7 linked regions of the Canis lupus familiaris genome follow. The protein of the gene in region 1 interacts with the protein of each later gene in a pairwise test. Links are inferred from orthologs where the notes say so. Each region holds a gene or a part of one and is shown in the gene's direction. Other genes may lie near its edges. The genes, in order: HTT, CRMP1, MTUS1, DNM2, ZMAT2, IFT20 and CTNNB1.

Evidence for each region.
Region 2: the proteins of HTT (region 1) and CRMP1 interact in binary tests that used the Homo sapiens proteins (3 or more experiments, as listed by UniProt). The link is inferred for Canis lupus familiaris from reciprocal best matches to the Homo sapiens genes HTT and CRMP1.
Region 3: the proteins of HTT (region 1) and MTUS1 interact in binary tests that used the Homo sapiens proteins (3 or more experiments, as listed by UniProt). The link is inferred for Canis lupus familiaris from reciprocal best matches to the Homo sapiens genes HTT and MTUS1.
Region 4: the proteins of HTT (region 1) and DNM2 interact in binary tests that used the Homo sapiens proteins (3 or more experiments, as listed by UniProt). The link is inferred for Canis lupus familiaris from reciprocal best matches to the Homo sapiens genes HTT and DNM2.
Region 5: the proteins of HTT (region 1) and ZMAT2 interact in binary tests that used the Homo sapiens proteins (3 or more experiments, as listed by UniProt). The link is inferred for Canis lupus familiaris from reciprocal best matches to the Homo sapiens genes HTT and ZMAT2.
Region 6: the proteins of HTT (region 1) and IFT20 interact in binary tests that used the Homo sapiens proteins (3 or more experiments, as listed by UniProt). The link is inferred for Canis lupus familiaris from reciprocal best matches to the Homo sapiens genes HTT and IFT20.
Region 7: the proteins of HTT (region 1) and CTNNB1 interact in binary tests that used the Homo sapiens proteins (3 or more experiments, as listed by UniProt). The link is inferred for Canis lupus familiaris from reciprocal best matches to the Homo sapiens genes HTT and CTNNB1.

The regions. Positions count from the first base shown.
Region 1 is NC_049224.1:61,750,089-61,754,189, reverse strand, and holds the start of HTT (huntingtin), read left to right. Parts: upstream 1-1,301; 5' UTR 1,302-1,440; coding exon 1,441-1,655; intron 1,656-4,101.
Region 2 is NC_049224.1:71,589,735-71,593,234, reverse strand, and holds part of CRMP1 (dihydropyrimidinase-related protein 1), read left to right. Parts: intron 1-901; coding exon 902-1,058; intron 1,059-2,338; coding exon 2,339-2,480; intron 2,481-3,346; coding exon 3,347-3,500.
Region 3 is NC_049237.1:41,851,329-41,854,828, reverse strand, and holds part of MTUS1 (microtubule-associated tumor suppressor 1), read left to right. Parts: intron 1-790; coding exon 791-1,005; intron 1,006-1,725; coding exon 1,726-1,831; intron 1,832-2,898; coding exon 2,899-2,972; intron 2,973-3,117; coding exon 3,118-3,213; intron 3,214-3,500. UniProt on the Homo sapiens protein: Cooperates with AGTR2 to inhibit ERK2 activation and cell proliferation. May be required for AGTR2 cell surface expression. Together with PTPN6, induces UBE2V2 expression upon angiotensin-II stimulation.
Region 4 is NC_049241.1:50,820,771-50,824,270, reverse strand, and holds part of DNM2 (dynamin-2), read left to right. Parts: intron 1-144; coding exon of another isoform or gene 145-283; intron 284-1,270; coding exon 1,271-1,357; intron 1,358-3,207; coding exon 3,208-3,278; intron 3,279-3,500. UniProt on the Homo sapiens protein: Catalyzes the hydrolysis of GTP and utilizes this energy to mediate vesicle scission at plasma membrane during endocytosis and filament remodeling at many actin structures during organization of the actin cytoskeleton.
Region 5 is NC_049223.1:34,979,058-34,983,310, forward strand, and holds the start of ZMAT2 (zinc finger matrin-type protein 2), read left to right. Parts: upstream 1-1,453; 5' UTR 1,454-1,499; coding exon 1,500-1,517; intron 1,518-1,852; coding exon 1,853-1,946; intron 1,947-3,009; coding exon 3,010-3,133; intron 3,134-4,253. UniProt on the Homo sapiens protein: Involved in pre-mRNA splicing as a component of the spliceosome.
Region 6 is NC_049230.1:42,556,709-42,560,787, reverse strand, and holds the start of IFT20 (intraflagellar transport protein 20 homolog), read left to right. Parts: upstream 1-1,279; 5' UTR 1,280-1,442; intron 1,443-4,079. UniProt on the Homo sapiens protein: Part of intraflagellar transport (IFT) particles involved in ciliary process assembly. May play a role in the trafficking of ciliary membrane proteins from the Golgi complex to the cilium.
Region 7 is NC_049244.1:10,788,915-10,793,172, forward strand, and holds the start of CTNNB1 (catenin beta-1), read left to right. Parts: upstream 1-1,458; 5' UTR 1,459-1,500; coding exon 1,501-1,513; intron 1,514-1,944; coding exon 1,945-2,172; intron 2,173-2,374; coding exon 2,375-2,628; intron 2,629-2,752; coding exon 2,753-2,991; intron 2,992-3,079; coding exon 3,080-3,281; intron 3,282-4,258. UniProt on the Homo sapiens protein: Key downstream component of the canonical Wnt signaling pathway.

The DNA.
Region 1 (4,101 bases):
GATCATACGAAGGCATGGATATCATGAATATCAGGAAGGGGTCACCTGGCTGTCTTAATGTCTGCAGACCACAGCACCCGACACTTGGAGCCTGGCCGCTGTGGCCTGCCATGCCTGAGACCTGGTACACACCTCATTATTAACTTCAGGGAACTAGGCCCTCCAGGCTGGGGGCACATTCTCTGATGTCCTTTCCCTGAAGGGGGGGGGGTCCTGTCGTTCTCCCCTCAGGGGCAATGCTTCTGTGGTGCCGCTGGGCTTCCCTTTATCTGACCACTTGGGACAACTGACTGGCGGTGAGAGAAGGTGGAGTTGTGGCCTGTGGGCAGAGTGGGATCGGGAGGGTTCATAGTGCATGCATCAACCCCCGTCCCTTCTCCCCTCCCCAGGCAACTCTCTCTGGGGCCAACCCACTCCCTGCCAGGCAGGGTGCCCCCTGATGCGCCACCGCCCTCTGTGGTCCTCTGCTGGCTCACTTCCTCGCCTCCAAGGAGTGGGGCTCTGGAGCCCAGGACCCTTCTCAGAGCCTACCCACCCTAAGCAGGAGGTGCCCTGCAGACCTCTGTGGAGCAAGGGTCTTCTCCTCCAAGCGAACCCGTTAGGGTTGGGCCATCATTGCTATGCGTGGCGCCTCTGGGGTCTAAGTGGCTGCTCGTGGCACCAGCCACAGACTCTGCGGGCTGCAGGCACTGACCCGGCAGGTTTCTACCGGGTGCCTGTCCTAGGCCCTCCCCTCCCCTCCCCGCCTCGCCGTGCCTCACCCCCCGCCCTGTCACCTCTGCCCCGCCCCCTGCCCCCCCCCCATCCTCTGCCTGGCGCGCCCAGCCGTTCCCGCCCCAGGTGCCTCACCGCCGCGCCCCCTGCCACGCCCGCCCTCTTTGTCCCGCCCCCCGCCCGCCCCCGTCCTCTCTGCCCCGCCTCACTGCCCGCCCCCACCCTGCACCCTGTGCTTTGCCCCGCCTCCCACCCTGCGCCCTACCTCCTCCGCTCCGCCCCTCCCGCCGCAGGTGCTTCCCCGCCGCGTCCCCTGCCTCGTCCGCCCTCTTTGCCCCGCCCCGGCCCCGCCCCCATCCTCCGCCCCGCCGGGCCCCGCCCCGCCCCCACCGGAAAGTGGGGCTGTGATCTCAGCCGCGCGGCGGTGCTGGGAGCCGAGCGGGCGGGCGCGGGAGGGGCAGGCGGCGCTTAGGCCGGCGCTTAGGCCGGCCATTGGCAGAGGTCTCCGCCCCGGGCTGTCAATCCCGCCGCCCTGGCCCCGCCCCGCCGGCGCAGCGTCGAGAGACGCACGGCCGCGGGGGCTGCCGGGACGGGTCCAAGATGGCCGGGCTCCTTGGTTCCGCTCATGTCCGCGGCCTCGAGCCCCATTCATTGCCGCGTTGCTGAGCGCCGCCGCCGGTCGGCTCGAGGGCTCGGGGGGCTGTCCCCGCGGGACGGGAGGCCGCCATGGCGACCCTGGAAAAGCTGATGAAGGCCTTCGAGTCCCTCAAGTCCTTCCAGCAGCAGCAGCAACAGCAGCAGCAGCAGCCTCCGCCGCCGCCACCTCCTCAGCCTCCTCAGCCGCTGCCGCAGGCGCAGCCGCCGCTACCGCAGCCGCCCCCGCCGCCCCCGCCCCCGCCGCCCCCGGGCCCGGCGGTGGCCGAAGAGCCGCTGCACCGACCGTGAGTACCGCCTCGCGGCAGTTCCGGCCCCGCGACGGCGGGGGGCTGCGGCGCCCCTGCAGACCCCGGCCCCGCGGCTCCCCGAACCCCGGGCGCGCACCGCCGCCCGTCCTGCGGCCAGACCCGGCCCCGGGGGTGTCTGCGCCCCTCGGCAGGCGGACTCGGGCTCGCCGGCCGCCCCCGAGGGCACCGAGGCGGGCACGGCCTCGGCCCCCCGCCTTTCCCGGCGTGCGAAGTTAGGGGAGGAACTTGCTGCTTTGTATCTGCACGAAACGGGCTGTGCTGTGGGCAGAACTTGGATAGCCGAGGCCGCCGCTTCCCTTCCCCCTGGGCGTCCCTGAGAGGAAGGAGCGCGGGCGCCGGACACCCCGCCGCGAGCCGGGCTTGGGAGCGAGCGCGGGGGGTGGGGCGGGGGGAGAGCGGTGACATCATGCCTTCAGGCCGCGGGGGCGGGGAGGGCGCGGGAGTGCGGCCCCGGCGCCGCGGGGCTCTTCTCTGCGCCTCGAGGCTGCCTTCCCGCATCCTCCCGAGGCGTGTCCGCTGGCATCAGGAGGAGATCCGCTCGCGTGTCTAAGCTCAAGCTGGTTTGCAGACCCAAGGAAGTGGTGAGCTGCTTAGAAGGTCATTATTAGGAAGAGTCGCCTGAAGTTTATTGCCTGTGTTCACTTGGCAATAAAAACAACCCGTTGCCGAGAGGGAGGTTCAGCGCTGGGGGAGGAATGATGTGCATTACACCAGCTCGGAGTTCGGCTTGCCTGCGGTCCCTGTGGGTGGCTCCTGTTTCCTTCGCTGGAGACGCCTGCGTGCTACTGTTTGGAAGCTAGGGGTCTCTGCTGCTCGTGCCTGGAGACCGCTCCTGCCGGCGGAACCCAGGTACTTTCCCCGGGCTCCGTGAGCTCGGGAGTGCGGGAGTGCTCGGCGGCGGTCCGGGCCTCTCTCCCCCGGCGTCTGGGTTTGCCATCTGGATGCGTGGTGGCATTTAATGAGGACAGTTTCCAAGGGGCAGCCCCTTTATAATGTCACGTTCAATTTTAGTAGTGTTTTTTTATTCTTTGTGTTTCTGACGTGGTCCTTGCCATGTCTTGAGAGTTCAATTAGAAAATGACTTGGGGAGTGATGTTGACTTGGCTGTTAGGATAGACTTTAGAAGTAAATTAATTTTTCTTCTAAGAGGTGAAAAACCTGTTTGGATGCTTCGAGAAAAAAAATACTTAAAAAATAATTTGAGTTCTTTCTACATCAGGTAATTTATCATCATAATTCATCCCAGACTTTTATTGGACTGCCTCTCTCTAGGAGGTAGATGTCATGGAAGTTCACACATTGCATGGGTCTTGTATAACAGGAAGCGTTAAGGAGGGAGGGCTTTGGGTGGGAAGGGAGACCTTACTGCTGTCACTGTAGGCTTGTTCAAATACTTGGTCAGTCTAAAAATGTGCCATCTGTTTCTTACACTGATTTGACAGAATCTGAATTTGTTTATCTTCAAAATATGGGTATAAAGTAGGTTTTTTTTTTTTCTAAAACTGCCCTTGCAAAAGTAGATAGATGTTGTTTTATTACCCTATTTTAAGGTCATATGTGATTGACTTATTTAAAAAGCGTAATTTATTATTTTCATGTAAATAGTACACTCCCATGATGCAAATTCTTGAATTACAAAAATATAATAATTAAAATGTCTCTCTTCCGTCTGTTTCTCCTGAGTACCTAACTGTGTTCCCAGAGGCAAGCTCTCTTAAACTTCTTCCTTCTGTACCCTTACAGATAGAACCCATGGATACATGAAGAGAGATTTCGAGTTATTTAAAATAGAAATATTTCAGAGTAGTAACTTTTAAAGCTTCCTAGCATGCTCTGAAATCAACTACATTGATGGGCCTAATAGTAGTTATTTTAAATAAAATACATAAATATCATATTTGTAGGCACTTTGCTGTTGAGAAAGTAGAAATTTATGAATTTTGAGTAACAGACTCTGCTTACAAGTTTGGATCCTGGCATTTCTGTTCAGGTGCTTCAGCTGAAAAATCCATTCCCCAAAGCAGGATTGTCCAAAAATGATTTAGAAAGTATCTGTTCTATTTTTATGGTTCTCTTCTGTTGTGTGGAGCTGTAGTGTCACAGCCATGCGTGGGCTTTAGTGCCTGCTTGCTGCTCAGCATGTAGGATGCAGGGATGCTGGGGTTGTGGGAGGGGACCGGCTAGAATCTCAGCAGGGCTGGCATGCAGGGGAGTGCCAGAGGTGGGGACGGTCCTAACTCTATTATGAGATAGTTGACATTTGTGTTTAGTGCTTTTCTTACTGTCCTTCAGATTCCCACCTGGTTTCCACCTGACTTTAGTTATTCATCCATCGATAAATATTTACTGAGCATCTAATGTATGCCTCTGTGCTAATAGTTGCAGGGCTGCAGCAATCAACAGATAAAGCTCTGCCCTTGTG
Region 2 (3,500 bases), about 9.8 Mb from region 1:
CCCTGTTTCAATTTGAATTAAGTAAAATTAAATACAATTTTAAACGCCTTCCTTGGTTGTGCTAGCCACATTGCACATCTCGAGAGGCACAGAAGGCTAGTGGCCGCCGTCCTGGGCAGCACGGGTACAGAACATGCCCATCACTGCAGGACGTGCTCCCGGACAGCCAGATCGCCGGAGCTCAAAGCTGCCGCAGCCGGGTGGCCTTGCACAGCTGTGGCAGTGCTGCTGGCCGGTGTCCGGCAGCATCTGTCCGCGGGCGGATCTGAGGCTCTGCCTGTGGGCTTTGCTCTGGCCTGCTCCTCGGAAGGCAGCCTGGGATTCCGAGAGTGAATGCTCTGGCAGCAGCCCTCCCGCGGTGGGTTGGTGGATGCACCGCCCGGCTCCCTTCCCTGGGGGTGGCACGGTCCCGAGGTGCGGTCAGTAGTCTCCCCAAGGCCCCAGTGGCCCCAAGCTGCAGGTGCCCATGGCCGTGACTTGGTCATAACTCACCTGTTCTTGACGTCTTTCTCTGTCACCTCCTCAATCCCCCACCAGTGCCGCCTGGAATCACCTCCCAAGTAAGACACTTGAACTTGACTCCTGAACTTGAAGATCTGCTTCTGGTAGACTCCACACTGAGACAGCACAATCCATCCCTGTGCCTGGACTGACAGATCTGCCAAAGGGCATAATGGTCCTTTTCAAATCCGAAAAGTATTACCAGTCCGGGAGGTTGCTGGGGTCAGCCGGTGCCCAGCGCCTGGCAGCGGGGGGTCACTGGGCTGTGTGGTGATGCAGGGAAGAAGGGCAGACAACCTATTGCCCCTCAGAGCATCGTTCTCCTGTCTCTGACCCTCTGACTTTCGTGCCCCCAGACCCTCCTCAAAAGACCATCACCTTTGTGTGTTTGCCCCTACAGGCCCCCTCGTGTTCGGCGAGCCCATCGCTGCCAGCCTGGGAACTGATGGCACCCACTACTGGAGCAAGAACTGGGCCAAGGCAGCGGCCTTCGTGACCTCCCCTCCCCTGAGCCCAGACCCTACCACACCTGACTACTTGACCTCCCTGTTGGCCTGGTGAGAGCCGAGGGGGTGGCTGGGCGATACTGGGTATAGTGTGGGATATTGGGAAGCACCCAGGATTAGAAACGAGAATCCAGATTCACCCTGTATTTGTCACATAACCCAGAATGGCTTTTTGCTTTGGTTTACTCATTGGCAAAATGGAGGAGAACATAGTACCTACTGTGGAGCTGATTATGTGTGACAGTGTAAGAAAATGGCCTAGAATCTAGGGTTCAGCAAGTGGCTACTGTTACTTGCAAAGCACCTCTTGGGTACCTGCACACAGTAGGAGCACAGCCACCTTGGTCCCTTCCCTTCTATTGGCCACCATGAGGGAAGAACACTTAAGCCGCAAGAGAAGGCTAAGTGGTGAGGTGTGCAGGCTGCTCTGGAAGCAGAGGTACATGCTCAGAACCAGGAAACTTGTAGAAGGCTTCATGGGGGAGGCAACATCAGGCCAGAAGCTAGAGGATTAGTAGGAATTCGCTGGATTGGGGATAAGTCCAGGCTTCTGGTCTTAGCCTTGGAGGAGCCCCATGGGGGTGAGGATGTGAACCTACCATGGAGATTTCTTTCTCCCAAATGATGCAGAAACACTTGACTTGACTATCCACAGGCTTACTCATCGTCTGCAAACTGATGTCTGGTGGGCAGATCCAAGTCCAGACAGACTCCCCATCTCCTCCACAAAGCTGCTGCTCCCACAGTCTTGCCCATATCTGAAGATGGCAGGAAACAGGCCAAAGGTCCCAGGATCTGACCACATTTTGCCCCCTTGGCGATGACCGTCATGGCTCATCTCCAATAGGCCTGTTTCTGTGCTCTTCCTTCCATGCCCCTAACATGATACAGTCTATACCCAACAAACACCCAGATTTTAAAACCCAAATCAGACCAAGCCACTCCTCTGCCTGGAGATTTCCAGGATCCTCTTCTCTTAGCATTGAACACAAGTCTCCACAAGTCTCCAAGGCCAAGCCTGATATGGCCTCACCCCTCATTGAACCTCACTTGGCACCTTGTTTGGGTGGATGCCCACTCTTCCAGGTGAGGAAGAGGAGGCCCACCTGGGGAGTCTTATTCAGAGAGCCCAGAGCCCACACTGACTGAGCCTTTTCCCAATAAGACACAGGCCCCCAAAGGGCCTTCCAGTGTCACTCACTGATACCCATGAAGTGCCCCAAATCCCTTCCCCAGAATCTCTTGGGGTTTTCATTTCACAGCGTACATTGGGTGCCTGAAATTCAACCTGAAACTCAAGTCTGATCCCCACCTTGTTTTCATCCTTACAGTGGAGACCTGCAGGTCACAGGTAGTGGCCACTGTCCCTACAGCACTGCCCAGAAAGCAGTGGGCAAGGATAACTTCACTCTGATCCCAGAGGGGGTCAATGGGATAGAAGAGCGGATGACTGTTGTCTGGGACAAAGCAGTGGTAAGGTGTTCCTTGTTTTTCTATCCCCAGGAACATTCTAGAAGCTCCCTGCCTGGCCCCTCAAAAGCTAGCACTTTGCGCATTGCTGGTTGTCTTTTATTTTAAGATTTATCTATTTGAGAGAGAGAGAGAGTGAGAAGAGTGAGTAGAGGGAGGGGCAGAGGGAGAGAATCTTGAAGCAGACTTCCCTCTGAGCATGGAGCCCAGTGTGGGGCCCAGTCCCACCACCCGTGAGATCATGACCTGAGCTGAAACCAAGAATCAGACGCTCAACCAACTGAGCCACCCAGGTGCCTCTGCACAGCTGATTCTTAAAGCTCCTCCCTTCCTTGCTTTGATGCAGGTGCAGAACACATCAGGAGGGCATGCGAGGAAACGTGTCTCTTAACAAAGCAGCACAGACATGACAGCTCCCCTTTATTCTTTAAGGATGCAAAATATTTTCTTTAGCTTTGTTTTGACCACATCTCAGTTCCTGTAAAGATGACTTTGTAAACCGCGTGTGTGTTTGGGGTTGAATACAGAGGGTGCTTGTCGCGTCACAGTAGGAAGCCCCAGGTCACACTCTGGTCCCTGACTTGAACCTAAGATTTTTATTTTCTATTAAACTTGGACCCAGTGGGACTGACAAGATGGCACAGTGGTTATTGAGCAGATGTCAGTATACCTCTGAGCGGTCAATTGCACTTCCGTTCTGATGGGGCCAGGCCTTTGTGCCCTTTCATGATGGCCTATTTGCAGCGGGGGAGGAGAAAAATCCAGACTTCTCTCAAGGACTCCTGTCGGCAGGTCTGGATTTGTGCCTGTCTGCTCTTCCCCCAGCCCTGTTATGGGACATTCTCCTCATCTGTGGATCTTGCCTTTAGGCTACTGGCAAAATGGACGAGAACCAGTTTGTTGCTATCACCAGCACCAACGCAGCCAAGATCTTTAACCTGTACCCCAGGAAAGGGCGGATTGCAGTGGGCTCAGATGCTGATGTAGTCATCTGGGACCCTGATAAGGTGAAGACCATAACAG
Region 3 (3,500 bases), on another chromosome or scaffold:
CCCACTCAGCTTAATAAAGATTTTATTTGACACACAGAGACAATACAGGCAGTGGGAGCGGGAGAAGTAGGCGCTCCTCTGAGCTGGGAGCCGGATGCGGTGTCCCATCCCAGGACCCTGAGATCATGACCTGAGCCCAAGGCAGACATTTATGGGACTGAGTCACCCAGGCACCCCTATGTTGTAGCTTTTAAAATGTGTTCTTTCTAAAGTTGGTATGCTCTGGTGATTTGTGTTCAACATACTCTAATACTTTGTTTTTATTACTGTATTTTTGAAATCAGCTTAAATTAAGTAGAAGCTTAAAATCCATTTATTTCTTATCTCCGATCTTCCTTGCCCCTTGTGTCTTAGCTTCTCCCTACAGGCTCTTCAGCCTTAGAGACGCCTCAGCCAGTCAGAGCCTCCCCTCCTTATGGCCCCTGCACTGATCGGTCAACACACAAAGGGTGCTTCTCCCTTGGAAACCTGGTTCTTTTCAAGTACTAACGTTACTACTTGCTAGATGGTTGTGTGTTAGGCGGGGTGAGGGGGTCGAAAAGGGGTATTGGTTTTGGTTTTTATTTTGTGGTTATGGGGCTTTTATTTTGCTGCCAGTGACCATTTCTTCTTGTTCCTATTTATCGTTCACTTTTATACCATTATATTTGAAAATCTGGTCAAGAGACAACAAAGTACTCAGAGTACTGTGCTAATGTTTCCAGAGTCCTCACAACTATGTGAGAATGTGGTGAATTTAGGATATTCAGCAGATGAATTTTTTTTTTTTTGCCTTTTTCCCCTCTTTTAGTCACTGCTTCATCTACCTGTGAGAAATTAGAAAAAGCCAAGAATGAGTTGCAAATAGCTTATGAAGGATTTGTCCAGAAGCTGAACCAGCAGCACCAGACCGATCTATCAGAGCTAGAGAATCGGCTTAAAGAATTTTACACCGGGGAATGTGAAAAGTTCCAGAATATTTATATTGAAGAAGCAGAGAAGTATAAAACTCAATTGCAAGAGCAGGTCTGTGCCTTTGGAGTCTGATCATGTCCTTGGTCATGACTATTTGAATTCTAATTGTTTGATGAAGAACTTCCTTTGAACTTCTTTTTATTTAAATAAGTGAAAAGAGGTTTTTCGATTTTTTCTTAGGATCAAAGCAATGTTGAGTGAAAGAAGGAAAGAAAAAAAGAAAAGTTAAAAAAAAAAAAACCTTCCTTACTACCTGGAAGTAATCCCTTTTGATGTTATACTGCTACATGATTGGTTTGCATTTCTTCTTTTTTAAACTGACACTTAATAACCCACATTTTTCATTTAATAGTATATCATAAGCTTCTCTTTAATTTTCTCACTTCCTTTTAAAATCAATTCTCCATTTAGTAAGTATTTACTGAGTGCATACTATATGCTGGGCACGTGCCAGGGACTGCAGATATGAAGACCAGTATGACAGGCATGGATCTTCTGTGGTCCTATCACCGTGAAACATATCATTAATTATGATGAACTTGGCCTTTTGCATCAGTGAACCCTGGAGAACCTGTGTGTTTGTGTTCCTGAGCGAGGAGAGAGTGGAGAATTGGGAGTGACAGATCCAGCTTGGGTTGTTCTATCCATATTGTCAGGCAGCCTTTTAACTTGAACGCAAGTTTATGTGTCAAGTGTCCTAATACTGCTGCTTATTATTCAACTTAAGACTTTTAATTTTACTGGTAAACTATTTTTTTTTTTTGCTTCTAGTTCGACAACTTAAATGCTGCCCATGAAACTTCTAAGTTGGAGATTGAAGCTAGCCACTCAGAGAAGATTGAATTACTAAAGAAGGCCTATGAAACCTCCCTTTCAGGCAAGAATTCTTTTTTTTTTTTTAATAGAATCAGATCTAATGGAACAGCATGATATGTTTTAAAATGGAAATGATTCATAACTTTCCCTTCCAGAGAATACCCTGTGGTATTCAGTTGGGAATGTTTTTGCTTTCTTTTTGCACTGTTCATTGTAAGCAGATGCCCTTTCCCCCTTCGGATGCAAATAATAGTTTGTCACAAATGCCTTTTAAGATGTGAGACTAACTTTTATAGAACATAAAGGTCTTTTTGGCAGTGGTTGTTCTTTACCACCTGAAGTTGCGGGAAGTTGAAAGTGTTAGTTTATATCCTGGACATGGTAAAGGACCCATGCTAAGCAACACTTGCTTGCCAGTAGTCTTGCACAACAGACAATGCTGTGAAAAGAACATGGCACTTGCTGAGTTAAGAAATAATTTTTTAAAAAATTATTTTATCATAATTAGAAAGATTGAAGTAGAAGGAATAGAAGGAGCCACTTCTTTAAGAACACAGAGGGTAGTGGAAGTTATTACACTTAGCTCTGCTTGTCCCATAGAAGAAGCCTGTAGACATGGGGTAAGAACTGGCTGGCCTGCCTTTGGCAAAGGCTTTTCTCATCAGAAAAATAGAGTTGTCACATGAAGTCAGAGATGATAATATGTAAAAGTGACTGGCCCAGGGTAGATATTTAGTAAACATTGTCATTCTTCCTTCCTGCTAGAATTGGGTTCAACTTTAGACTTGTGTTTGATTCATGAAGAGCAAATGGAAAAGTGCACAGGAACTCGAGTGCAGGAGTGTGAAGGCCAGTGTTTGAGGCCCACACACCTGAGATGGACATGCTGTATCCTGTGGCCTCTGGGCCTCTGTGCTCTCCATCATAAAATGGAAGTATCTGTGTTCCTCCCATCATAGGCCTAATTGGAGAATAGCTAGCTTAATTCATTTAAAAGCATCTTACAAATATAAAGTAACATAGTCATACGGCCTCATAATCAACTCTTAGATCTACGTGCTTTAACAACTATTGAATACAATGATCTCATAGGATGTCATTGCCTCCAAAAAAATCCCTTCTTTCCAGAAATCAAGAAAAGCCATGAAATGGAAAAGAAATCACTTGAGGATATGCTTCACGAAAAGCAGGAATCGCTGGAGGTAGGTAAATCTTATTTACACCTGCTTCCCCAAAATACCCTCATTCCTGAGGTTTGTGTGGTTTGGGCAGTGTTTCTGTGTACATTTGCTATGTTTCTGGTCTCTGCCTGTTAACTTGTGCTCCACATTTCATTGTTTGTTTTAGAAACAAATCAATGATCTGAAGAGTGAAAATGATGCTTTAAATGAAAAGTTGAAATCAGAAGAACAAAAAAGACTATCAAGAGAGAAAGCAAATTTAGTAAGTTGTGTGTGCTTCTCCATCACTACTGAGTTTTCTTCTGTTCAGCTGCCTTGGAGGGTCAATTAAGTGTTCAGTAGCTAGAGAAATGATATGGGTTTGGGGTCCTTTTCATATTTTGCAGAATGACTTTTTTAAACTGGCTTCTTTGTTTACTGGTGTCTTTTTAGAAAGCCTCAGAACTGACATACAGATGAAGCTCAGTACATTGCAAGTGGCCTAAGCTGATAGCCACAGGAAAACAAGAAAACTGACAATGAGAGTTAGGGTATCATGGGAAAACTACA
Region 4 (3,500 bases), on another chromosome or scaffold:
AAATGCGGGCACCGGCTCCTCCTTGCATGTCACTAACCAGCTGACTCTCCTTTCTTCTCTTTCCCTGTCCCCCGCCCCGCGTGTGTGGCCCGCACTGTCCCCGGGTGTCTTCCTACCTCGTCCCGCCCTCCGCATGTGACCCAGGACGGGGCTCTTCACCCCGGACATGGCCTTCGAAGCCATAGTGAAAAAACAGATTGTAAAACTCAAAGAGCCAAGTTTGAAGTGTGTTGATCTCGTGGTCTCAGAGCTGGCCACGGTCATTAAAAAGTGTGCCGAGAAGGTAACCGCAGGTTTTGTTGTCCCCTGCGCATTTGTCCCGCATCTCCTCCCCACCCTCCCACCCCCCACGTTAGTCTCCACCTGTGCATCTGGACACTCTGCCTCGGCGGGAACCCCCCTCCCGGGGGCCACTGGTCACTCAGTGCCCTCGCAACTTTGCGTGGCGGCAGAGGTGGGGGTGCTGCAGCGCATGGGTGCTCCCCGTTTCCAGTTTGGGTGCTGCGGAGGGTGGGAGGCCTGTGGATGTTGTAGGGTCTGATCACTAAGCAGGCCGTGGGGGGACGAGCGGCGCTGCCTGGCCCAGAACCCGTAAGGAGGGTCTCCTCACAGTCACCAAGCATGAACCGTTATCAGCATGCAGACCTGCGTGTTCTCATGTCACAGGGCATTTCAGAGGGTTTCTGCTAGGGATTCTGACTGTCGGCTCAGATGTCCCCAACACTAGGGCTTCACCCCACCCTCGGATGGTGGGCTTCTCCGTGCCTTCGGCTCCATTACGATGGGGGAATAGTTTTCTCTAAGGGGGTCCCTCTGAGGTAGATGGCCCAGATGCTGCCCCCACATCCTAGAACAGGCGCTACTCACTCACGAGCTGGGCGAGAGTTCCCACCCCACTGGCCTGGTGGCCTTCATTAAACTAGGTGTTCTTGCTCTCACCCAGTACTGGGCGGAGGGGGTGGCCATCACTGTTGGGCAGCAGACACACACACCCCCAACTTTCTCTTGCCACTTTCCACCTTCGAATCCATTCTCAGCATCTCTGCTCGTGCGTGGGCACCCCTGTCACTCTCTCTGGCACACCGTGCCTCCACCATCCCCTGCTTGTCTCCCAGCTGCAGCAGCCAGGAGACAGGAGTGGGGTGGGGACTCGGTAGGCCCACCCCTTGTCACTCCCCTTCCCCTCATGTTCTCTGTGTGGTTCATGTTGCTTCCTGTGCCACAAGGACTCAGCCAATGCCGCCACTCTACTTCTCCCCCTGCCCCCCAGCTCAACTCCTACCCCCGCTTGCGAGAAGAGACGGAGCGAATCGTCACTACCTACATCCGGGAACGGGAGGGGAGAACCAAGGACCAGGTATGGGCCTTTTGTTTTGTTTTTCAGGTATGATTTATGTGCATGAATCTTTTTTTTTTAATGTGCTTAAATCTTGAGCATAGATTTCCTTGAATAATGGCACATGCATAAACCAAGGTAACCCCCACCTCAGTCAAGGTACCAAACCATTCTCAAAATTCCTGTCCTTTGCCCCTTCCCAACCCCCGGGCCCTGGCAATGACTGGCCTGCTCCTTATCCCTATGTTTTACCTTCTCCAGAATATCACTCAAATGGACTCCTGTGGTCTGTAGCCTCTTGAGTCTGACCTCCTTTGCTCAGCATAGAGCATTCAGGATTCATCCCTGTTGTTTGTGGTGTTGTTGCTAACGCTTGCTGAGTGGTGTCCAGGGGTGGGTGCAGACTACAGCTTATTTACCCATTCGCCCACCAGAAGATGTGTGGGTGCTTTTTATGTTTTAACATTTTCCTTGTGAAGACCGTCCAGGCACACACAAGGATAGAGAGTGGGACAGGTCCCTGCAGAGCTGTGGCACGGGTCTCACCTGTCATGCCGAGTGAGCCCATGGCTGTCCTTTCATCTCTATAGGACTTGTATCTGGTCTGAGTCCCTTTCCCCTGGTTGGTCTGCTTTGGTCTCCTGGCAGGTGTTTGTTCAAACTAGAGCCAAAACAGGCCTCTGTGTTGTATTTGGTTGTGATACCACCTCGTTTTGCATGTCAGTGGAGAAGAAACTGGCTCATTTGTCATTCAGAGGGTCTCCCAGTCAACCTGCACCCCTTCCCCGTGGCTTCTGTAACCTCGAAGTTGTATCAAAAGCTTGAAAGGTGCCAGTTCATATTGTTATTGTTATTGTCAAGAATGGCTGTCGCTTCCACACTCCCATGGCGCCTGGTTGTCCCAGTGCCAGTGCTTCTGGGCTCTATCCCAGGGCTCGGGCTGATGGGGCTCGGGCCTGTTAAAACCAACAACAGTGGCTCCCACAGACAGAGCACCCCAGCATTTTTCAGCAACCCCACAAGGTCCAAGTGGCTGGCATGTCTTATGCTTGAGTGCCCAGAGGCACAGTGAAATGACAGGAAGGGGTAGGGTGTGCTGTAAAGGCCTGTCTTTTACCTTAGATGACATCCCAACTGATGCCTGTGTTTGCATGTGCCATTCTGATGCCCTCACCTGGTCAAACTACCTTTGCTGTTTGCTTGTGGTTTTTCTTTTCTTTCTTTTTTTTTTTTTTTAAGTTTTATTTATTTATTCATGAGAGGCACAGAGAGGCAGAGACATAGGCAAAGGGAGAGGGAGAACCAGGCACTCTGCAGGGAGCCTGATTCGGGACTCGATCCCAGGATCCTGAGATCACAACCTGAGCCAAAGGCAGATGCTCAACCACTGAGCCACCCAGGCTCCCCACCTTTGCTGTTTTAACAAAGCAGCCCTTACAACATGCCAGGTGCTGCTCCGTAAACACTTGACATGCTGTGAATTATTTAACCTCATGCAGTGGGGCCTCTTGTTGTCCCTTTCAACTGTTTGGTAACACAAGGCCAAGGGTCACACTACCAGGCAGTGGCCGAACAAGACTGCAGCCCAGATAGTCAGCCCCAGAGGCCGTGCCTGCAACCAGCACATGACTGCCTCACTCTGCTCTGTTGGCCCGGTCTTTCTTTCTCATGGGGCCCTGAAGTTTCAAAGTACCCACGCCCCATTTTCCAGGGTAGGGGTTGGAGGTGAGGTATGGGTGTTCCCCTTCTCTTGCGCTGGAAGCAGTATAGTCCCAGCCATCGCCCCCTGCCGGCAGGTATGGGAAGTGCTCTGGCCACAGCCTTCCCTGCCAAGCTTCTCTCCCTACTCATAGTTAACCGTTTTCTTCCAGATTCTTCTTCTGATTGACATCGAGCAGTCCTACATCAACACGAACCACGAGGACTTTATTGGATTTGCCAAGTATGTATTTCTCAGGATAGAGGCTGGTGGGTGACACAAGTGCCCTGCCCTCAGAGCCTGGCCCCAAGAGAGGTGGTCGAGTTGGCTTCCCTCAGCCGACGAGGGCAAGAGGGTCTGTCTGTCAGAGTCCCGGGGTGAAGCATACAGCCATCTGAAAGTACCTGGAAGCTTTCCTGGGCTGATAGCGACCCCCATCATTGTCCTCAACATGCCTCCTGTGGG
Region 5 (4,253 bases), on another chromosome or scaffold:
GGATGGGTGACAAGTTCCTCTGCCTCCTCCATCCTTTCTGGGTACAAAGCTGTAGGAGGTCCTGAGGACTCCTGGGCTAGTGTGAGCAGCTATTCTGCATGGGTGCAGATGGCTGGTATGTGAAAGAGACATGCTCTAACTGCAGAGACAGATGGCAGATTTGAAGTGCCATGGAATGCTGCCAACAGGTGCTGAGATGGTTGCTTTGAGCAAGGCTCTAGGAAGGTTGCCCCAGGCTGGGACCATTGAGATAAGAAGTCAGATACGTGGCCTTCCATTGTGGCTTCTGAACCAGATTCTGGGAAATTTGTCCACAACCTGCCCTTGGCTTGTCCAGGGAGTATTGGGAGATAGCAAGGAAGGGGCAAATGGCTGCCTTCTCCTTTTGAGGACAGAGATGCTATCCTAAGGGCATAGGAGTGCTCATGGTTGTGGCATCTCTAGCTCAACTGCTGTTAGTAGAGTGAGGCTGTCTGTTTAGTAATTTTGAATGTTGAATTTAATAGGTGACTTGACAAGATGGTCTAATCTTTTGAGATTTTGGAGACCATTTCCTGTGCCAGAATTACTGCTCGACTATGTTCCATGTTGTCCTATGGAGGTGGCTGTTCTAGAAATGATTGGATAATAAATAAAATACTAAATGTAGTAGTTTGAGTGATTTGTTATCAAGAGATTGGTTTGCATAGGCCATAGAAAACCCTCAAGTGTACACTGCACAATTCTGAGAACTAGGAGCAACCTCCCTGGGGTGATGCTTCTGGATTCAGTGAAGGAAACAGTCAGTTTTCCAGTGCCCCCACTCCACCCCCCATCAACTTGGAAATACAGTCACGTCTAAATGAACATAGTGAGATGCATGCCAGAGTTCACCCTACAGCGTTGCTGATGACTGGCCTTTCCAAGTCCCATCATGTTGATTAAATTGTGCCCTATTGATTGAATGATTATAAAGTTCCTCAGTTGAAAGAAAAATGATTTAACCGAATGATGATAGCATTGCTTCAAAATAAAGAGTGTGCAAAAATTGCTTTCTATATATGCGCTGGAAAGGCTGCAACTTAGAGACACTGGGTGTCGCGGGCCATATCTTTAGTGCATACAGGTAAATAGGGCAGCTAGAGGCTCCTAATAATTCCTTCAGCCTTAAAAATTAGAAACTTGGCAAACGGATGCACAGTTGCTTAAGACTAGATCAAAGGGCCCTGATCCAAATTGCTTCCTTGTTTATAAAATAGACCAGTTGAATTAAATCAGATGATTGTTTAGAAAACCAAGGCAAAAGACATTAGTACGCGCCCTTACTTCCGTATTGCTTCATGCTCTCCATGCGCATGCACCATTTCCGTGGGTCAGAGGAGGGGCCGACGACCCTGTTTTAGAAGTCCTTAGCTCGTTTAGAACGCGAAACTCTAAGCTTATTGGAGGGCAAGCTTGCTTTACGGCTCAGGGCCGCTTTTTACGTCATTTTCCGGCTTCCCATTCACTTCGCAGTGAAGATGGCGTCGGGCAGCGGGGTAGGTGTTGTGTGTGAGGAGGCTTTGGTCGGGGGGCAGAGGGTGCCTTCGTAGCGCGGAATATCCTGCACCCAACTGGCTTCTCGACACCTCCTTGCGGCCCAATGGTCCGAGTTCAAGAGCCTCCTCGTAGGGTCCTGGCACAGGGTCTGTGGAATCGCGGAGAACTCTTGGGTTGGGGTCCTGAGGCCACCTCAGCCTTCTGGTGCGGTGTGGAGAGTCTTCGCTCTCGACAGGTCCGGGGGGTCGCCTTGCCGGCGTGGACGCGGTTCCCTCCGTTTCTCTAGGGTTCCGATATGATTAGCGACGAATCTTGAGCGCTTTTTTCCCTACAGACAAAAAACTTGGACTTTCGCCGAAAGTGGGACAAAGATGAATATGAGAAGCTCGCCGAGAAGAGGCTCACGGAAGAGAGAGAAAAGAAGGATGGTGGGTGCCTACTCCCTAAAGGGCAGAGGTATCGTAGAGGTGAAGCCATAGCTGGAGAGCGGGTGGGGAGTTGAAATGCGATGTCCTGGTTGGTACCTTGTGTAACCTCTGGCTGAATGTTGCCTCCCTGGTTCTCCATTTCTTACTGTATAAAATGGGAGGAAAGAGATGGACTGAATATACTCAGAGGTATTTCCCAGCTCTGTTTCCTGTGCTTTCTTGCCTTCTTTTTGCTTAGCTCGTTTTGTACTTTCTTCAAGTGCAGAGAAGAGAGGAGAAGCCTTAGTAGTGACAGAGATGTGGAGTATTTTGCTGCTATGCACTACTCCTATTGAGGAAACTCTTTCCGTTGAAGTCACTTAAGGGGAAGAATATAACTGGTCCAATCAAGTCCTTCCCCTGTGGTCTGAGAAGAGTGAGGGTACTGGGAGGAATGTGTGATTGTTTCAGCTGGTGGTTAGTAGTACTGTTTCTCTGCTTTGTACAATGTTACGGAGTTGATTCTCCTCTCCTAGTTAGAGAATCCATTATACAAAAAGAATCCTTATTTTTTCTTATGCTTTCACTTTACTTTCACACCACCTTGCACAAACTGATCTTTTTAGTTTTGATCTAATTTGTACAGTAGCAAGTAACAGATATTGCCTGAATGTTGGTCCCATTTAGAAAATCTTCCCCAGCCTTCTAGAGATTCTTTTTTGTGTGTTACACTTGGGGTATCTGTCTGAAAGTATTACTGAGTGTCCTTGCTTTTCTTTTAAAAGTTTACTCTTTGTGAAAATTAATTCCTTTCTTCAATTCAGTTAACAATAAAAAACTTTGTTTTTAGACTTATTGGCTTTGAAGTGGAAAAAAGCTATGTAGAGTTTAGGGATTGCATATCATTTTTTCCTGTGTTGAGATTCTCCCTAGTTGCTGCTACAAGTGCTTTTTGTGCCCCCTGCTTCAGGCTTAAGAAAGAAATGAAGAGTAGACATCTGTGTATTGGGTTTCATGCATTTCTTTTCGTTTCTGCTTAAGGAACTCTAATAATAAAAGGACTTTCTTCTGTCTTATATTTTAGGAAAACCAGTACAGCCAGTCAAACGGGAGCTTCTCCGGCATAGGGACTATAAAGTGGACCTGGAATCCAAGCTTGGGAAGACAATTGTCATTACCAAGACCACGCCACAATCTGAGATGGGAGGGTGAGTGACTTTTCATCTTTTTCAGGAGCCAAGACTAGGTCTAATAAACTGTGTTGATTTTAGCAAGTGTCGAGGAGAGGTTCTCTGGCTCCAGGATAGCAATCATGTTACTTATAATTCTATCTTTATTTTTATTTATTTTTTTAATAGTCCTACCTTTAGATATTTCTTTGTGTCACTCCTGTTCCAGGCCTCAACTAAACATGGTAGTGTCTCTAGGAGGAGTTACTCTGTAGACCTCTTCATATTGGCACTGTAACTCTTTCTTAATATCTGAAGAGGAAGAAATGAAGGAAAGGACTCCTGAAAACATTTCTAGGGGAGAGATTTCTCGAGCTAGAATGGAGCCTAGAAGCTGTTGATGGTGAATAAAGGGAGTTGAGGTTCCAGACTGGCTGCAAAGGTTGTAGTTGTTACGGATTGCTTGGTTGTACACTTTCCTCCTAGACCAAGACTATGACCCATGAGAAGAGGTGTCCTGTAAGGACTTTTGTTTTTGCCCACCACTACTACAGTATTCATTTACGTTTTCTAGCAGGAGAGCAAAACAGATAGCAATGAGTGACATGTCTGAATTGCTTAGAAAACTTACATCAGGGATCCCTGGGTGGCTCAGTGGTTTGGCGCCTGCCTTTGGCCCAGGGCATGATCTTGGGGTCCTAGGATCAGGTCCCATGTCGGGTTCCCTGCATGGAGCCTCCTTCTCCCTCTGCCTGTGTCTGCCCCTCTCTCCCCCCCTCCCTGTTTCTCATAAATAAATAAATAAAATCTTAAAAAAAAAAAACACCTCACATCATTCTTTTCTGTATTAGTTACCTATTCCTGTGTAAATTAACTAACTCACCAAAATTTAGCAGCATAAAACAGATAGCTAACAATTTGGGTAAGTAATCTGGAAAGGCTTAGGGTTTCACAAAGCTGCAATGAAGGTGTCTGCTGGGTCTGCATTCATATGAGGCTTAAGTGGGGCTGAATGATTTGATTGAAAGCTCTTTCATGTAGTGCTTTGGAGGCCTCACTTCTTTGCCCCATGGGCCTCTAGTGCTGTTGACAATAAAGCAAGTGGCTTCCCAAGAGTAAGACATGGACAGGCTATTTATTTATTTATTTTAATTTTAAT
Region 6 (4,079 bases), on another chromosome or scaffold:
CAAATTTCTTTGGTGGCTTGTCCTGGAGACTCACTTGCCTCAAGGATGGAGTACGGAGGAGATGAACCTCACCAGCAGATTGTCCAATCCCTAAGTAACACGTGATAGTATGAAATCACCTCACCTTCCCCCACCCACCCCAATGGAGTAAATCCACTCCTTAACAGGTTTTAGCAAGTCCCCTATGCATTTTGAGTCTAGCCCCGATTTCCCCAGGATCAAAGAAAGCAAACATATGTTCCGCCAAAGTAAAGGAACTCAAAGGCTAGGGGGTGGCCAACAGAGCCTACAAAGCAATTGCTTTGAGCCCCTGGATGACGTCAGCTCAGATGCCGACCGCTCAGATTCCTCCCGGGCCAATGGGCTCCAGGAATCTTTGGCAGGTGACGCCCCAGAAAGTAATTCCAGAGAGAATGAAGTTTCCACTGATAGCCTCACTGCAGTTCCTTCCGGACTTTGTGTGTGGGTATTTGGGGATGCCTGGGGCTGAGGGCGTATCCGAGTCTCCCTCAGTGAGGCTAATGGGAACCTAAGCAGAATGAAGGGCAGGACCACAACCACGGCCGTGGAAGAAGGCGGGGTCCTAGAAGACGGACCCATGGGTCCATGACACTCGGTGGGGTGGGTGGGGGGCGGGTGGCCAATCTTGGGTAGAGGAGGCGGATCCAGCAGAAATCCGAGGTGTAAATCTTAGGTTTCGTCCCAAAGGTCTGGAAAGATTAGCGAGACCCAACCTCTCCGTGGTCGGTGGAGTCTTCCCCGGGCCGCACCCCTCCTCACACCGAGAAGCCGACCGATTCTGACACGCACCCCAGTGGAGGACTTGCGCTCTCCATCTCCCCTCCGCCGTCCCACGCCTTCTCCCCAGCCCCGGGTGGGGCTCCTGCCCCTGCTCCTGCTCCAGCCCGCGGCCCGTCCATCCTGTCCCCCAGGGCATCCGCACCCCGCCTCTCACCGTTCCCGGGGGGCACGTCTCCTCTCAGCTGGGTTGCAAGCCGACCCCGTGCCGCCCGGGGCTGTGGCCGCCTGCCCGCCAGCAATCCCGGGCCGTGAGCTCACATCCTCCGCCCGCGGACTCCGCCCTGAGCCGCGGCCCAGCCCCGCCCGCCCCGCCGCCATGCCCAGCACCCAATCACGGGAGAGGGAGGGGCCCCTGGGAGAATTCCGCTGTTGGCGTTCGGCTACTTCCGGCAGCCTTTCCGCCGCAAAGGCCTCTGGATCTTGTAGGCAGCCGTCCCTCCCCACAGGCCCTTTTCCCAGCAGGCTCTGCGGGTTGGGCGGGGTAAGTACTTCCGCAGTCAGGTAATGACGTTACGGGTAAACAGTAGCCGTGGCAGCGGCTGAGGCCGGCGGGCGAGGCACCGGCTGCTGCTGCCCGGGGAGAGAGGCTGCCTGCAGGAAACAGCTCGGGCGGTAGCGCGCCGCCGCTACGGGGTTGCCAGGTAGGCAGCGACTCCGGGCCGGGGGACGCGGGCGGACCCGGGGCGACTGAACCTGACAGGCCGAAAGAAACGTGGGGATTCCGCGCGCGTCTTTGCGAGCGGTGAGACTCCAGCTGGGGCCTGGAGCTTTGCGTGGATGCTCGCAGCGGCCCTGTGACGAAACCGCGGCCCAGAAGTTCGAGGCGTTTCCGTAGTGTGGACAGCCAGCTCCATCACCCAGGTCTTCCTACCTGTGTGCCCGGCGCCCCTTGCCGACTATCCCGCGAATGGCGCCTGCCGGCGGGGCCGGGAATGGGTCTGGGAGAGCCAGGGAGGCGGAGAGTGTCGCCGCCGCCGCCGTCTTCGGGGAGCCCCGCGCGGCTCTGGTGCCCGGTGTTCCTCAGATGCTCAGACACGCACGTGTGGTGGGAGTTGGGAGGGAATCTGATAGTCGGCTGTGAACCCTCTCCCTGCCCTCCTTATCCGGTCTTATCCGTCTCATTCAGCTCTGCCCACCGAACTTAAAAGTTGGCGCTCGAGCCAGATACAGGGGAATCTTGCCTGCCTCTTTCCTTCCCTCATCCCAGACTCCTACATTCAGTCGGGGCTTTACTAATTACATCAGCTTATGTAACATCGCAAATGGGGACGCTTTTCTTCCAAGCCTTGGGTACTGTAATAGCCTTTTCTGTTTCCAGTCATTCATTCCACAGACATTTACTGAGTGCAGGCACCCTGCTAGATGCTAGGGTTACAGCGATGAACAAGGTATGTGTAGCCCCACTCTCTTGTTCCCTCCTCCACCCTGGGTCAGAGTGATGGTTGTAAAAGACACATATGTCTGCCTTTCCTGCTGAGAATTTGCTGGCTGCCCACTACCCTTATGATAAAACCCACGTTCATAACTGTGGCTTTCAGAGCTCTCCATGAACGCTCAGGCCTCCTCATCTAGAGTTACCTCTTCCACATGCCCCCTTGTTCACTGGGTTTTAGCCTTATGGTTCCTGGAATGCATTACATTTCTTTTAGCCTCAAGATTTTGACACATGCTTTTCCTTCTGCCTGGAATGCCTCCTCCCTGCTTCACTTGGCAAACTTTTGGACATTCTTTAGGTCTCAGCTTAAGTGTCATGTTTTCAGAAGCTTTTGTTGAGACATTCCCTGCCCCATATGAATTCTGTCCTCTTGCTGCAGCTTCATATGGCACCGTGTGCTTTTCCTCATACTGTCCTCACAGTTTGTGGTTGTTTACTGTCTGTCCAGAGATCAGAAACTAAAGCATTTTCTTCACCACTCTGTCTGCAGAGCAGGGACTCAGTAGGTGTTTCTGAATAAATGCATCCTCTCAGGGCAGGGAGTGGAAGTGGAGGTAGATATTTGCTACCTAAGATTACTGGAAGCTTTCTAGAGCAGTTGGTCTGATTAATCACCTGGTAGGTGTTAAATGCTCAAACTCTGTGTGTAAATGTAATAGAACAACAGGAAGGCAGATTTTTAATAAAAGATTTAATTTATTTATTCATGAGAGACAGAGAGAGGCAGAGATATAGGCAGAGGGAGAAGCAGGCTCCCTGCAGGGGAGCCCGATGTGGGACTCGATCCCGAGAGCCTGGGATCACGAGCTGAGCTGAAGGCAGACGCTCAACCACTGAGCCACTCAGGCAGGTCCCAGGAAGGCAGATCTTTTTTTAAAAAGCCCAATTAATTGAACACCAATAAAAAAATAAATTTATTAAAAAAGAATACACTTATCCTGATGCACACTGAGAATATAGAATTGTTGAATCTTTATATTGTACACCTGAAATTAATATATTACTGTGTGTTATATTTAAAAAAAAGCCCAATTAAAAGGAAGCTTGAGATGATTAAAATGTTTCAGATGCTAGCCTATTTCCTTCAGTGGATTCCAGTAGGCCAGAGACTCTGTGTCCCAGTCATACACAATCTATAGACATGCATTAGTTGGCCCACAGTGTTGGATGTGGTTTTTCCTTTAAAGTTTTGAATTCAGTATTTACCTTTAAAAATCAGATTTCAAAAATAAATAAATAAATAAATAAATAAATAAATAAATAAATATCAGATTTCATATATAAATCTGGATTTTTGGCTGTCTTGAAAATCAGTTCTGGCAGCCACGGGACACAATTCTTTTTTAACCACTGCTCCTCCTATGGTCTACTTGCTCTGGGAAGTTACTCCCATAACAACCCCATGTGGAACAGAACTTCTCTCAGGAAGCTGGAAGGAAAATAACTAGGGAAGGTGAGAGCAGAGGAAAGTGCTGGCGCAGGGCCAGCTGGTGGTAGCCCTTGGAACACCTGGCGTTTGGGAATTGCCTCCCTTTTTGGACAGGGAGTGTGCTTTTTAATTTGTGTGCATTGGGGACGCCTGGGTGACTCAGTGGTTGGGCATCTGCCGTTGGCTTGGGTGGTGATCCCAGGGTCCTGGGATCGAGTCCCGCATCAGGTTCCCCTCAGGAAGCCTGCTTCTCCCTCTGCCTGTGTCTCTGTCTCTCTGTGTCTCTTGTGAATAAATAAAACCTAAATATATATATATATATATAGTGTGTGTGTGTGTGTGTGTGTGTGTTTGCCAGGATGAATGTGAGTTTTCAGTGTTTTCTTCCCAGAATGGAGGCATCTTTTGGACCAG
Region 7 (4,258 bases), on another chromosome or scaffold:
ATACCTGGGAGCTGGAGTGGAGCTCTCAGTTTCCAGAGAGGTGGAAAAATAAAAGCTAAAATGCAGCTTCAGTGAGTAGAGAACATGGGTATTTCTTAAAGTGTGGTCTGTAGAAATCTTCATTAAAAATTTAGGTTTCTATGCCCCACTCTAGTCCTGTTGAATCAAAACGTTAAACACGTAATCCCACTTGGTATCTTAAAAGATTCTTATTGACAGGAATCACCTTTATTATTTTCTGACCTTCATTTTGTCATGTAAAAAAAGATCATCAGTTGTGTTTCTACTGTGGACACTAAACAATTGTATCCATAACTCTTGTTATCTTTACATATCAAGTGACCTTTGTGGCTATAAAAATCTAGTACTGCAAGAGCAATTTTAGGAATAATTAACACATGCTTCCTTTACATAGAGCACATAGGACTTCAGAGTGTAGTTTCCAACTTCTTTAAACATTTAAACTCCTTTTTACATGGATAGAGTACTCACTTCATGCTTAAATATTTTAGTCCATATCTTTACATATTGGTAAACCAATATGTTAAGTTGTAGTGTAAGATGAACTTGTTTACGGGAATACTTTGTGATAAAGGAAATGTTATTATTAGGAATATCTGGTGGTTGTGAGCCTTTACAAGACCCACAGTTCTAATTTGCAAGTAGTTTCCCATGTGATTCAGTGTTTTCCTATTACACAGTGAGGCCAAAATGTAAACATAGATGCTAGGATTTACATATATATAAATTATGTATTTATATATATAGTACTTTTGTAATATATATATATTTTTTGTAATGATCAAAACAGCATTCTGGTCGGTAATAGTTGTATTTATAATACATCCATACTATAAATTTGAACTAGACAGATTTTACTAAAAGGGTGATTATTGTGTTGCAGATTTACATTTGAAAAGTAATTTTAGTTAGTAACAGATCTCAAACCCAGTGTTCTGATCCAGTCAGCAAAACCTACTTTGTATTTTAGATGTCTTTGTATTCTATCAGGAAAGAAAAACCATTAGTGAAAATCTAGTTTTTTTTTAAAGTCCATGTCCAGTCTCACCAGAAAGATCTCTGAATTTTTCAGTGAAAGAAGTTAAAAAGAGAGGGGAGAGGTATTTTGGGAATTCGAGGAGTTATTTCCTACCTTGGCTTTCACTATAAATTTTCTTCCTCCTCAACAATAATTAAGCTTTCTGACATCCTGAATAACTGTAATTTGTATTTCTACCTAAAAAGAGGTGTTTACTAAAAGAGGTTCAGCAGTGGTGGAGCTGTGGGGAGTGTATTAAGGAGACCATGGAGTCTGGCTTTCACTCTCACATGGTAAAGGGGGATTTGGGGGCTTTTTGTGGATATAATCCATGATGTTTAGCAGGTCATCCTAGTGACTTAAAAGTACTAAAAACTAATTTTAAATCCTAATGACTTGATTAACTCTTTTAGGGTACCTGAAGCACACCATACAACGGTTTTGAAAATCCTGTGTGGGGAATGGCTACCCAAGGTTTGTATCAAAAGTCTTTAGTTACTGAATCGGGGCTCTGCTTCATTGCCATTAACCCAGTCTGGCTCAGATCCCCCTGCTTTACTCTCTCCCTGCTTACTTGTCAGGCTACCTTTTGCTCCATTTTCTGCTCACTCCTCCTAATGGCTTGGTGAAATAGCAAACAAGCCACCAGCAGGAATCTAGTCTGGATGACTGCTTCTGGAGCCTGGATGCAGTACCATTCTTCCACTAATTCAGTGAGTAACTGTTAGGTGGTCCCTTAAGAGTATAGATATTTCATCACTGAGCTAATCCTGGCTATCGTTGTTTATTCTTGGCTGACTTTCAGATTTGACTATTTCTAACAATATTTCAATGGGTCATCACAGATATTTTAATGAATATAACATCTCCATGGTGGTAATGCTAATATTGTTTGATTTTTATAGCTGATTTGATGGAGCTGGACATGGCCATGGAGCCAGACAGAAAAGCAGCTGTTAGTCACTGGCAGCAACAGTCTTACCTGGATTCTGGAATCCATTCTGGTGCCACTACCACAGCTCCTTCTCTCAGTGGTAAAGGCAATCCCGAGGAAGAAGATGTGGATACCACCCAAGTCCTGTATGAGTGGGAACAGGGCTTTTCTCAATCCTTCACTCAAGAACAAGTAGCTGGTAAGTATTTTATTGCCTTAATAAAAGTTAGAAGGCAATTTTAAGAATGATTCTTTAAAAAGTTAGTATGTAATAGCTTAAATAAAATGGTGTGGTAAAGAAAACATGGAGTGATTGTAATGTTACCTTTACCACTTAGGGTAGCACAAATTCAGGTGAATGCTGAATTATGGACAGTGAGTGTTGAATTTATTTTTTCCAGATATTGATGGTCAGTATGCAATGACTCGAGCTCAGAGGGTGCGGGCTGCTATGTTCCCTGAGACATTAGATGAAGGCATGCAGATCCCATCTACACAGTTCGATGCTGCTCATCCTACTAATGTCCAGCGTTTGGCTGAACCATCACAGATGCTGAAACATGCAGTTGTAAATTTGATTAACTATCAAGATGATGCAGAACTTGCCACACGTGCAATCCCTGAACTGACAAAACTGCTAAATGATGAGGACCAGGTAAGTAAGGACATGGCTAGCTTTTAATCTGCTTTAAAGGAAACTCTCAAGGAGCCTCAGAATGTTTATCCGGTATCAGTATTTGAAAATCATAATTCTGTCTCTTAATTCCTATACATTATAGGTGGTGGTTAATAAGGCTGCAGTTATGGTCCATCAGCTTTCTAAAAAGGAAGCTTCCAGACACGCCATCATGCGTTCTCCTCAGATGGTGTCTGCTATTGTACGCACCATGCAGAATACAAATGATGTGGAAACAGCTCGCTGTACTGCTGGGACCTTGCACAATCTTTCTCATCATCGTGAGGGCTTGCTGGCCATCTTTAAGTCTGGGGGCATTCCTGCCCTGGTGAAGATGCTTGGGTAAGAAAACATGGTTAGGATGCTTGAAGCTAAGGAGGAGAAGGGTGCCATCACAGCCTTTCTGATGAGGCTTTTTTTTTCTTCCCAGTTCACCAGTGGATTCTGTATTATTTTATGCCATTACAACTCTCCACAACCTTTTATTACATCAAGAAGGAGCTAAAATGGCAGTGCGTTTAGCTGGTGGACTGCAGAAAATGGTTGCCTTGCTCAACAAAACAAATGTTAAATTCTTGGCTATTACAACAGACTGCCTTCAGATTTTAGCTTACGGGAATCAAGAAAGCAAGGTAAAAGAATTTTTCTGAGTATGGCTCATGGAGCATTGGGGAATCCAGTGTCATGTCCTTCTGTGGACTCTTGCACATTCTTTGTATGCCTCACCCTTTGTGTGTATCCTAGAAAAAAAGCTGGACATCTCTTTTTCTTTAAATATTTGTTTATATAAGGCTAGGTGATAAGGATATAGTGGGCATACTTAGAGCTTTCATACTTAGGTGGAAGATAGGCACTAATTAGAGATAATAACCTAATTACTATTTAATTCATGTATCTGGAAGAAGTAGAGGGGCTGTGATAGCATATACGTGAACCACACCCTGCTTGGAAGGTTTAGAGAGACCAGTGGAAGGAAGTGATAGTGGAGTTCAGTTCACAAGGATGAGGAAAGACTGACTAGGTGAAGGTGAGAGAGAGGAATTGACACCTTTGAAAGTCCTACTGAGAGAGGAGAGGGATGAATTTACAGAGTAAAGAAGAGGAAAGGTTTGAGATGAGAGTATTGAGATTAGCAGGGAAGGTCCTTCAGGGCCTTGTAGAATATGTTTTTAAAAAGTAATGGAAAGCAGTTCAGTATCAGCAGAGGCATGAAGTGAGGAGATTTGTTTTTAGAAAATCAGGATAGTTTGGAAGTAGGGGTCTGCAGGAAAGTAAAGGGCAAGAATGAGTAATTATTTTATGATACTTCATTTTAAGTAGGTGAATAATGATTAGGAAAAGCCAAGAGCCAAATCATTAGGAGTTCTAAGCACCTGTTCTGGCTCAAATTTTCAAGAAATCTGCTTTGATATACCATTGATATATGGACAGTACTGTTGCATACCAACATGGTTTCTGTTTCTTTTGTTCTGATCAGTGTGAGAGGAAGAATATTGGGGAAAAGTTGAGATATTCTTGGGAGTACTGGGATGCCTGAATTTGAGTGGAATGGTGTAAGAGGGGCTAAACGTGGTCCCAGTATGGGAATCTGGGGTAATGGGGTTCAGGG